Macaca fascicularis: one gene and its partner. The protein of the gene in region 2 interacts with the protein of the main gene of each other region in a biochemical or structural test. Links are inferred from orthologs where the notes say so. Each region holds a gene or a part of one and is shown on either strand. Other genes may lie near its edges. The genes, in order: ATG4B and GABARAP.

Region 1 (4,555 bases), on a different chromosome or scaffold from region 2:
GAACTCTAGAGATCAGAGGAGGGCAGATCATTAATCATCCCTGAAAGGAAATATAGCATCAAGTAAGAAGGAAAATTCCCCATGATATCCTACAAACATCATAAATGTTTTTATCAGCATAAACAGAGACCTTTAAATGCAAGCGACTTTCCTACTCTGATTCCGCATGCAGCAGCATCCCGTGTCCTATTAAAGTATCATCGTGTCAATATGGTAGTCAAGAGAAAATAAAAGACAAAAATAAACTATCATCATGTAACAACATAACTGTTCTCCTAACTTGAACATGATGATTTTCATATTTTAGGTCATGTGATCGACCCTGAACTCTGTTTTTGACCTTAACCAAGTCTCTCATATGATACTCCAGTGTCAAGGTATCGAAATGATAGAGGCAGGGGGGAGACAAATCCTAGGCAGAGAGGGGCGAGTCACCAGTGAAACCCAACCTTCAAGCCACAGTTTAAAGCCTGAAAGCCAAGCAACAAGTCTCCGATAAATCCACAGACTGGACTGCAAACCTCTCTTCCTGTTTGGTGCGCTTTCCTCTAATTAATCCCCACCCTTCACCTATTTTACATATACTTACCCTTCTCTAATTGGTTTATTACACTGTTGTGCCCATCTTTGAGTGGTGACTTTGTTTTAGCCTTTTTTGCATACTCACAAGCAAATCAGCACACACTCCCCATTCTGAGCCCATAAAAGCCCTGGACCCAGCCACACCAAGGGAGACCACCTGACTTTGGGTGGAAGACCACCCTTGAGTCCCCTTTCTGCTGAGAGCTGTTTCATCACTCAATAAAACTATTCTCCACCCTCCTCACTCTTCGATTGTCGGTATAATCTCATTCTTCTTGGACGTGGGACAAGAACTAAGGACCCAATGAATGCAGGTACAAAGAAAGCTGTAACACTATGGCCCTCGGCCCTCTGCTGGGAAAGGGCAGTCGCCCCACGTGACAGCCCACAGCAACGGGAAGCAGCTGGGGGGATGGAGGTAGCCCCAGAGCTATAGCCTGGAGCAGGGCAATGGGAGTGACAGGGCTGTTGACACTTTGCAACACCCTCTCTTAGGCTTCAGGGTTGCAAGCATCCCTGCTTGGGCGCCACTACCTTCCCCTTGTCTGGACACCAGAATCCACTGCCCCCTTGTCTGGATGCTGGAGTCCACTGTGGGAGTTGCTTGCCACACGTCTAGCTGTAAGCTCTGCAGATCCCACTCTGGTGTCTGCACTTGAAACAGCTGGCGGGACCCGGCACTCACTCACCCACACACCCACTCCCGCCAGGGGCTGAGCATGAAGTCATGGCGGCCATGGTATCCGTGCCAGAGTGCAAACCAGGTGCCACCCGGTGGGCCAAGTAGACAGGGCATCTCCTGCGGCGAGCCCGGACCCAGGCAAGGCCTGGGCAGGGGCCTCGCCAGCTGGAGGTCTCTGGCTGGCAAAGTGGCTGAGAAAAATCCTGCATCACAAACAATAATACCTAATAAGATATAATACAACAGTTGTAAAATAGTAAACAACAAATAGCACACAGCTGCGAATAGTACAACCGTGTCTGACAGTTATTCTAAAACACAAACTTCACAAGATACACATGCTCCTTAGGGAGTCAGGGCTCCTGTTTCCTCCAACCACCTACCACATTTAAGCGGGGAGCAGCTTCAAATGATTTATTTTTTTTTTATTTTTTATTTTTTTTGAGACGGAGTCTCGCTCTGTCGCCCAGGCTGGAGTGCAGTGGCGCGATCTCGGCTCACTGCAAGCTCCGCCTCCCGGGTTCCCGCCATTCTCCTGCCTCAGCCTCCTGAGTAGCTGGGACTACAGGCGCCCGCCACCACGCCCGGCTAATTTTTTTTTTTTGTTTTTTTAGTAGAGACGGGGTTTCACTGTGGTCTCGATCTCCTGACCTTGTGATCCGCCCGCCTCGGCCTCCCAAAGTGCTGGGATTACAGGCTTGAGCCACCGCGCCCGGCCAGCTTCAAATGATTTAAACAGATATTGGCAATACACATTACAGTTTTCCTACTCAGATCTTAATAAATTCGTGTTGTAGCTGCCAGAAAAATAATAAGTAAAGATTGACATTCAGAATGACAGAATTAAACCAGATGAAAATCTTTCTTTACAGAAAGGGGATACTTGATAAAAAGCAAATCAGTTCCCAAAAGAATGAATGGGCTAAAACTTCTGTGTAAAAATGTATCAAGGGCTACTGGGCAAGCGATGGGTTTGGTACCGACTTAAAACTATCTTGCCAGCAAAAATGGAGCGGAAGCATGAAAGAATAGGCAAAAACACCAACACTACACACACACACACACACACACACACACACACACACACACACACACACACACACACAATCTCTCTCTCATGAACCCAAGAAACTAAGACCCGATGACACAAATTCACTGTTTCTCTTTCTCGTCGCGGAAAAGCAGCTTGGAGGACCTACTGGTTACTAAATTGAAAACAAACACAAAAAATATGCGTATATTGTGATGGACATGTCATGTTTCTCGCCTCCAACCTACCAATAACTTCATAAAAGTTAAAGAATTTCCATCCCTTCACGCTCAGCTGCGGGAAGGCCACGCTTTCGCCCGCCGCTGGCGTTCCCGGTCCCGACCGCGGCCGCCCCGTCCGCCGCCGCGCCACTCCCCGCCCGGCAGGCTCCGCCGCTCTCCACGGCCGACCTGGCGCAAGGGCCCGTGCAGCCACAACCTCCAGAGCGCTCCCGGCGGGACCAGAAAAGCAGCAGAAGCTCCAGGGCAACCGACAGCCGGTTCCGCGGCGCAGAGCGCCGCCGTCCCCCTCTCGCGCCCACCGCCCACCACCCACCAACACCGCCCCGCGCTCCCGCAGCGCCCGCCGCCCCGGCCCAGCCTGGCCCGCACCGGTGTGCCCAGGAGCGAGTCGCGGCAGCCCGGCCCCGAGCAGCGGAGGCCGATGATAAGGCGAGCACCTCCTGCGGAAAGGCAGGCCGCCGGCAACCCCTCACCTGCGTCCATCTTCCCAGTCCGGCCGCCGACTGACCCAAGCGGCGTCGCTCCGACGGGCCCGCAGCGCGACGCGGCGACGGGACGCCGCGGGGGCCAATCGGGGCGCGCGGCAGGCGGCAAAGAGGATACGGCGCGCAAGCGGAAATACGCGGGAGCCGCCATTTTGGCGTACGGCCGGGCCAACGCGAGCCCGGAGCGCCCTGCGAGCGGCGTGGAGTCGTGTCGCGGGACGAGGGCTCGCTCTGCTGTCCGACGGGACACTGCGTGCCATGGGTGGCGCTTCCTCCTCTTAGAGGACCCGGGAGCAGTTGTCCAGGCGGCAGGGGCGGGCTCTGTCCCTGTCCGAGCAGCCATCTTGCGGTACGGACGTGCCCGGCGCGCCCATGTCGCCGTACGGACTGGCCCCGCCGGGGCGACTCCACCGCCCGCCTGCCCGCCTGCCGGCGGACGCTGCGAGGGGCCGGCTGCGCCCCGCTGGTCCCGAAGACGCCCGAACCCGCGCCTGGCCAGGACGCGGGCGGGGGCGAGGGCGGGGGCGGGGGCGGGGGCGGGCCCGCGGCGGGCGTCTGCGCCTCCATCTTGCCGTACGGCGCGGACGCCGCGGGCCGGCCCACGTCCCGAGCCGTGTCGCCGCCGCGCTCCCTCCCTCGGGGCGGTCCGCGGGCGGGCGGGCGGCGAGGGCCGGGGCCTGGCGGCGCGGCTGGGCCAAGGCCCGCAATGGTGATCTGCTGTGCGGCCGTGAACTGCTCCAATCGGCAGGGCAAGGGCGAGAAGCGCGCCGTCTCCTTCCACAGGTACGCGGGCCCCGGGCCGCCACGCCCCCGCCCCGGCCCGGCCCTGCGGGGAAACTGAGGCCCCGCGGCCGGCCCGAACGCAGGGGGCGGGGGCGCCGGGCCTCGGCTGCCGGGGCGCGGGGGAGCGGGCGTGGGCGCTGTGTGACCTTGGCCCGGCCGCCGTCTCTGGGCCGGGCGCCTCGGGCAGAGCGGCCGCCCCCACCCCGGCCGCCCGGGTCCGCCCTGCGCGCGATCGATCCGGCCGGCGCCGCGGCTTCAGAAGCCGCACGTTCTGGAAGCGCAGGTCCCGGGCCGATTGTCCTGCTCGGCCGCGACTGCTGCCTCTCCGGACCGCGGGCGGTCGGCCTGGATGTCTGCGAGCAGGAGCGGCCGGGCAGATGCGACCTGCGCCTCCCTTGCTGACAGCCCCCGAGAGGGCTTTCCGGGACGGGGCCCCCGATCCCGGGACGCGGGTCTGCGCTGAGAGCCTGCGGGACGGCCGGCTGGGGACCGCATCCTCCCGCGCTCCCTTAGAGCCTGGCCCGGGGCTCTCGGCCGCTTCCCACGTGGGCCCCCGCGGCAGGGCCCAAACCCCCCTAAGGCCTTGTGGGTTCAGCCTATTTCAGTGAGATTTCTGCGGATTACACGCGGGAGGCACCAGAACCGCGAACAGACTTTGAAAACCACTTTGTAGATGTTTCTGTTTTTTGTTGCAGGGTGTTATTTAAGTTTTAAAGACGGCAGTGGCACGTGTTATTTATAGTGTTATTGA
Region 2 (4,165 bases):
CTTTGTTGTGATTGGATTTTTTTTTAAAACTCTTGTACAAAACTGATCTAATTCTTCACTCCTGCTCCAAGGGCTGGGCTGTGGGTGGGATACTGGGATTTTGGGCCACTGGATTTTCCCTAAATTTGTCCCCCCTTTCCTCTCCTTCTATTTTTCTCTCCTTAGACTCCCTCAGACCTGTAACCAGCTTTGTGTCTTTTTTTCCTTTCTTCTCTTTTAAACCATGCATTATAACTTTGAAACCAAAACGGCCCTAGGTCCTTCTCTGGGGTTTTGGGAAGTGAAGGGAGGGAACTTTGTTTACATGCACCCTGTCCCCCGAGCAGAGAGGGAAGAGACTGCTGTTGGACTCAAGGGGCAGGGGGAAAGGTGGTGTTGAGTATGGGGATACAATAATGAATGTGGCCACCAGATGCTTTGGCGGGAAGGGCCGAGGATGTGCGCGCTGGTGGGGAGTGGAAAGATACCTTCGGAGCAGCAGGCTAGAAAGCAAGTAAGGAGAAACCTGGACGGCCAAAGGGCGTAGAGCTGGAGAAACGTCGGGCTTCGTCCGGGGTACTGACGTGGACACGTTAAGCGGGCGCTGGCCCCAGGCGGCTGGCGCCCCGACCTCCGCAGTCCGGGGAGGCGTAGGTCCCCACTCGCCGCCGTCGCCCAGCCGGCCCCGCCTCCCCGGCGCCCTCCCAAGCCGGCCCTACTTCGCACACCCGCCACGTGACGCTCCGCCCTCTTTGAGATCACATGATTTCACTCAAACCGTGCGGTGTTCCTCCGCGCTGGCGTAGTCCCTACCCCTCCAACCTCCTCTCCAGTCCCTATTGGTCTACTCATTCTTGGCACTTAAGCGTTCTGTACATCTCTCCAAACATCTGTTTTCTTTTTGACCTCTTACTTCTGGAGATCATCTCCGCCACTTGGGTACTACTTTGTTTTGGTGTCAACGGCCGCCTTCAGCGTAGCAATACGGTTCGTGAATAGCTAACCTTGTAATTGTCTCTGCTGTTCCTCTACGTTGTTTCCGAAAGGAACTTGGAGAAGCAAGTCTCGTATGATGATTACCATATCTTACTCCTCTTCAGCCCCAGCTTCGTTGAGGGGAAGGTTGGGGAACAGATTTAGAGTTATTTTCCATGACCAAAAGCCAACCGTCTTTGCTACGTCGCCTGCGTAGCCCACAAATTGATTCCAAAGCGATTACGCTAATGGCGTGAGGGGGCCGGTCAGTGGGTGGTGCTACGCTAGCAGCGTTAGCACCGCTGAGGTAGTGGCGTATCTTAGTGGGGGGGCCGTCCCCGATAGTCGGGGGCGGGGTTGGTGAATAGGGAAGTGGCGCAAATTCGTGGATCGCTCCGCTGAATCCGCCCGCGCGTCGCCGCCGTCGCCGCCGCCCCCCGTCCCGGCCCCCCCGGGTTCCCTCAGCCCAGCCCGGTCCAGCCCGGTTCCCGGGAGGATGAAGTTCGTGTACAAAGAAGAGCATCCGTTCGAGAAGCGCCGCTCTGAGGGCGAGAAAATCCGAAAGAAATACCCGGACCGGGTGCCGGTGAGGACAGAAGCCAGGGCCGAGGGCGCGGGACGCTTACGCTGACGCCACAGCCTGGCCTTGGATCTGGGACGGGCAGCGCAGGGATCAGGCTGCTGGCTGTGTTGGGGTTGGGAGCGAGCCTGAAACTGCTGTCCTTGGGACCGAGGATGAAAGGAGTGGGGTAGTGGTGGACGTGGGGTTGAGAGGGATGTGGACAGGAGAGAGAAACCTTAGCATTTGTGTGAGTGGAGGCCTTAGAGAGTTTGACAGCCTGAGCCTCAAATGGCCATACCCCCAACTAGCTAAGGTTGCGAGATTGAATCACTAGTGGACCCAGACAAGTCATCTCCGTCTGATTAAGATAGTTGTTTATGGTGACGCCCTATTCGGTGGATGGATCCTGGATATTTAAATAAGCTCCAGTCAGTGAGGTCAGGATCTCTGGGACTCAGTGCTGCACCGCGTGTACAAAGACAAAGAGATGAGTCTGGGGTAGATTTAGGTACTAGGAATATTGTTACTTGAGTTCCTGACAGGTGCAGCTTTGGCGCTGCATTCCTTCTGTCTGCTAATTTTCGTCTCTTTATCAGGTGATAGTAGAAAAGGCTCCCAAAGCTCGGATAGGAGACCTGGACAAAAAGAAATACCTGGTGCCTTCTGATCTCACAGGTGGGAACCTGACCCAAGGCTCAGGCTTGCTTCCCGTGGGTGGGAGTGCAGTCTCTGTGGGAGAAGGCTCCACCTAGCAGCTGTTCTTTTGAGGGCATTTTTGACCTCTGTGACTTTCTTGCACCTTGTATCTTTTGCAGTTGGTCAGTTCTACTTCTTGATCCGGAAGCGAATTCATCTCCGAGCTGAGGATGCCTTGTTTTTCTTTGTCAACAATGTCATTCCACCCACCAGTGCCACAATGGGTCAGCTCTACCAGGTATGGTGACCGGGAAGTGGTGGAGGCTTTGGAGAGGAATCTTGGAAGAGCGTGAGGGGAAGAAAGTGTTGTTACATCAGTATTTTGGACTAGCTTCCTCGCTTGCCTTAACATTTCATAATAGCCGTGGTTTGGGGGTTGGGACAGAACAGTAGGAGTAGAGAGAAGGAAAGAGAACAGTGAACTAGAGAAACTGTTCGGGACTCTTCCCAGTCTTCCTCCCCATTCCAAAGCAGCAGAAAACAGTTTGAGGCCTTTTTTGCCCAGGACTGCAGAGATTATATTGCTCGTGTGCTAGGCCTTGGAGTCAGTGAAGGAGTCGGGCACTGGTTTCTGGTTCTAGAAGAAAGTGTCTGGGTCGTGGTTGGTTTAAGGAACTGGAGCCCAGTTGCTGAACAGTTTTCTGCCTTCATCCCAGGAACACCATGAAGAAGACTTCTTTCTCTACATTGCCTACAGTGACGAGAGTGTCTACGGTCTGTGAAGCTGCTGTCCCTGAGCTGGAGGGGGGTCTCATTCTACAAAGAGAGAGGTGGCCCCCTTTTCTTGACCTCCTCCTCCTTCAAGCTCAAACACCACCTCCCTTATTCAGGACGGGCACTTCTTAATGTTTGAAGTTTTCTCTCCAGCCTCTTTTCGGAGGGGTAATGGTGGAGTTGGCATCTTGTACCTCTCCTTTCTCCTTTCTTCCCCTTTCTCTGCCCGCCTTTCCCATCCTGCTTTAGACTTCTTGATTGTCAGTCTCTTCACATCCAGTGATTGTTTTGGTTTCTGTTCCCTTTCTGACTGCCCAAGGGGCTCAGAACCCCAGCAATCCCTTCCTTTCACTACCTTCTTTTTTGGGGGTAGTTGGAAGGGACTGAAATTGTGGGGGGAAAGGTAGGAGGCACATCAATAAAGAGGAAACCACCAAGCTGAACTGAATTTTGCCTTGTGTTGCTCCCCTCGTCCCGCTGATTTTTAGTCTTTCCAAGGTGTCAGTGGGTTTCAGTGGTGGGGAAAGGAGTATTGGGTACAAGCTGGAGGAATAGAAGTATATTTTGGTTTATTCTGTCCATGTTGGGCTTTTCCCTGTCTGCAAAAAGAGGGTGCTTTTTTGTGATGGAATGGAATACTGAGGATCATTTAATGAAACTTTAGTTTTATGACATGTATGTGAAACTGAATGTTAAAAATGCTCACGTAAAACTTTTGTTTTTTTTTTACTGTGGGTTCCTGTGGAGAAAGTTCCAAAGTACCTGCTTTAGGTGAACATCCACATTTGCTAGAACATTCTAATTAAGGAAGATATTTTCATGTGTGTAAGCTAGTAAAACGGCTGTTCTCAGTTGCATGTCACTTGGCTAGACTTTTGCCGGTGTGTGGGATTCAGCAGAGTGGAATCAGGGAGGGAGAAGACTGGGAGGGGGAGCCATTATCGCCAGGAATACTTCATCTCCCAGCAATCATTTCTCCGGCAGGCCGGAAGTGGGGCGGTCCCTCGGGGGAGAAAGAAGCTGCAGAACGAGACAGTATGGTGGCCGAGAGTTCTAATCCCTTCTTCCTCTTCTTTCTTGGTCCCGCCCAGCCTACATCTCCCAGGGGCCTGCGCGCGCACTTCCGCTCTCTCCTCTGGCTCCCGGTCTCCCCGCCACTCCCCGGGGGAGGGGAGCGGCTTGGGGCGCCTGCGCCAGCCTGTGGCTTTCTGGGAATCAAAGTTCCGGAGGCTCATGCGG

The links.
Region 1: the proteins of GABARAP (region 2) and ATG4B form a complex in vitro, tested with the Homo sapiens proteins (3 studies listed by BioGRID and IntAct, with this or other methods). The link is inferred for Macaca fascicularis from reciprocal best matches to the Homo sapiens genes GABARAP and ATG4B.

What each region holds. Positions count from the first base shown.
Region 1 is NC_088386.1:137,583,036-137,587,590, reverse strand, and holds the start of ATG4B (cysteine protease ATG4B), read right to left. Parts: upstream 3,042-4,555; 5' UTR 3,020-3,041; coding exon 3,010-3,019; exon of another isoform or gene 2,906-3,009; intron 2,826-2,905; exon of another isoform or gene 2,543-2,825; intron 1-2,542. Other genes in the region: peroxynitrite isomerase THAP4, read left to right, coding at 3,728-3,804. UniProt on the Homo sapiens protein: Cysteine protease that plays a key role in autophagy by mediating both proteolytic activation and delipidation of ATG8 family proteins. Required for canonical autophagy (macroautophagy), non-canonical autophagy as well as for mitophagy.
Region 2 is NC_088390.1:7,288,972-7,293,136, reverse strand, and holds GABARAP (gamma-aminobutyric acid receptor-associated protein), read left to right. Parts: upstream 1-1,331; 5' UTR 1,332-1,450; coding exon 1,451-1,540; intron 1,541-2,112; coding exon 2,113-2,191; intron 2,192-2,331; coding exon 2,332-2,450; intron 2,451-2,868; coding exon 2,869-2,934; 3' UTR 2,935-3,369; downstream 3,370-4,165. UniProt on the Homo sapiens protein: Ubiquitin-like modifier that plays a role in intracellular transport of GABA(A) receptors and its interaction with the cytoskeleton.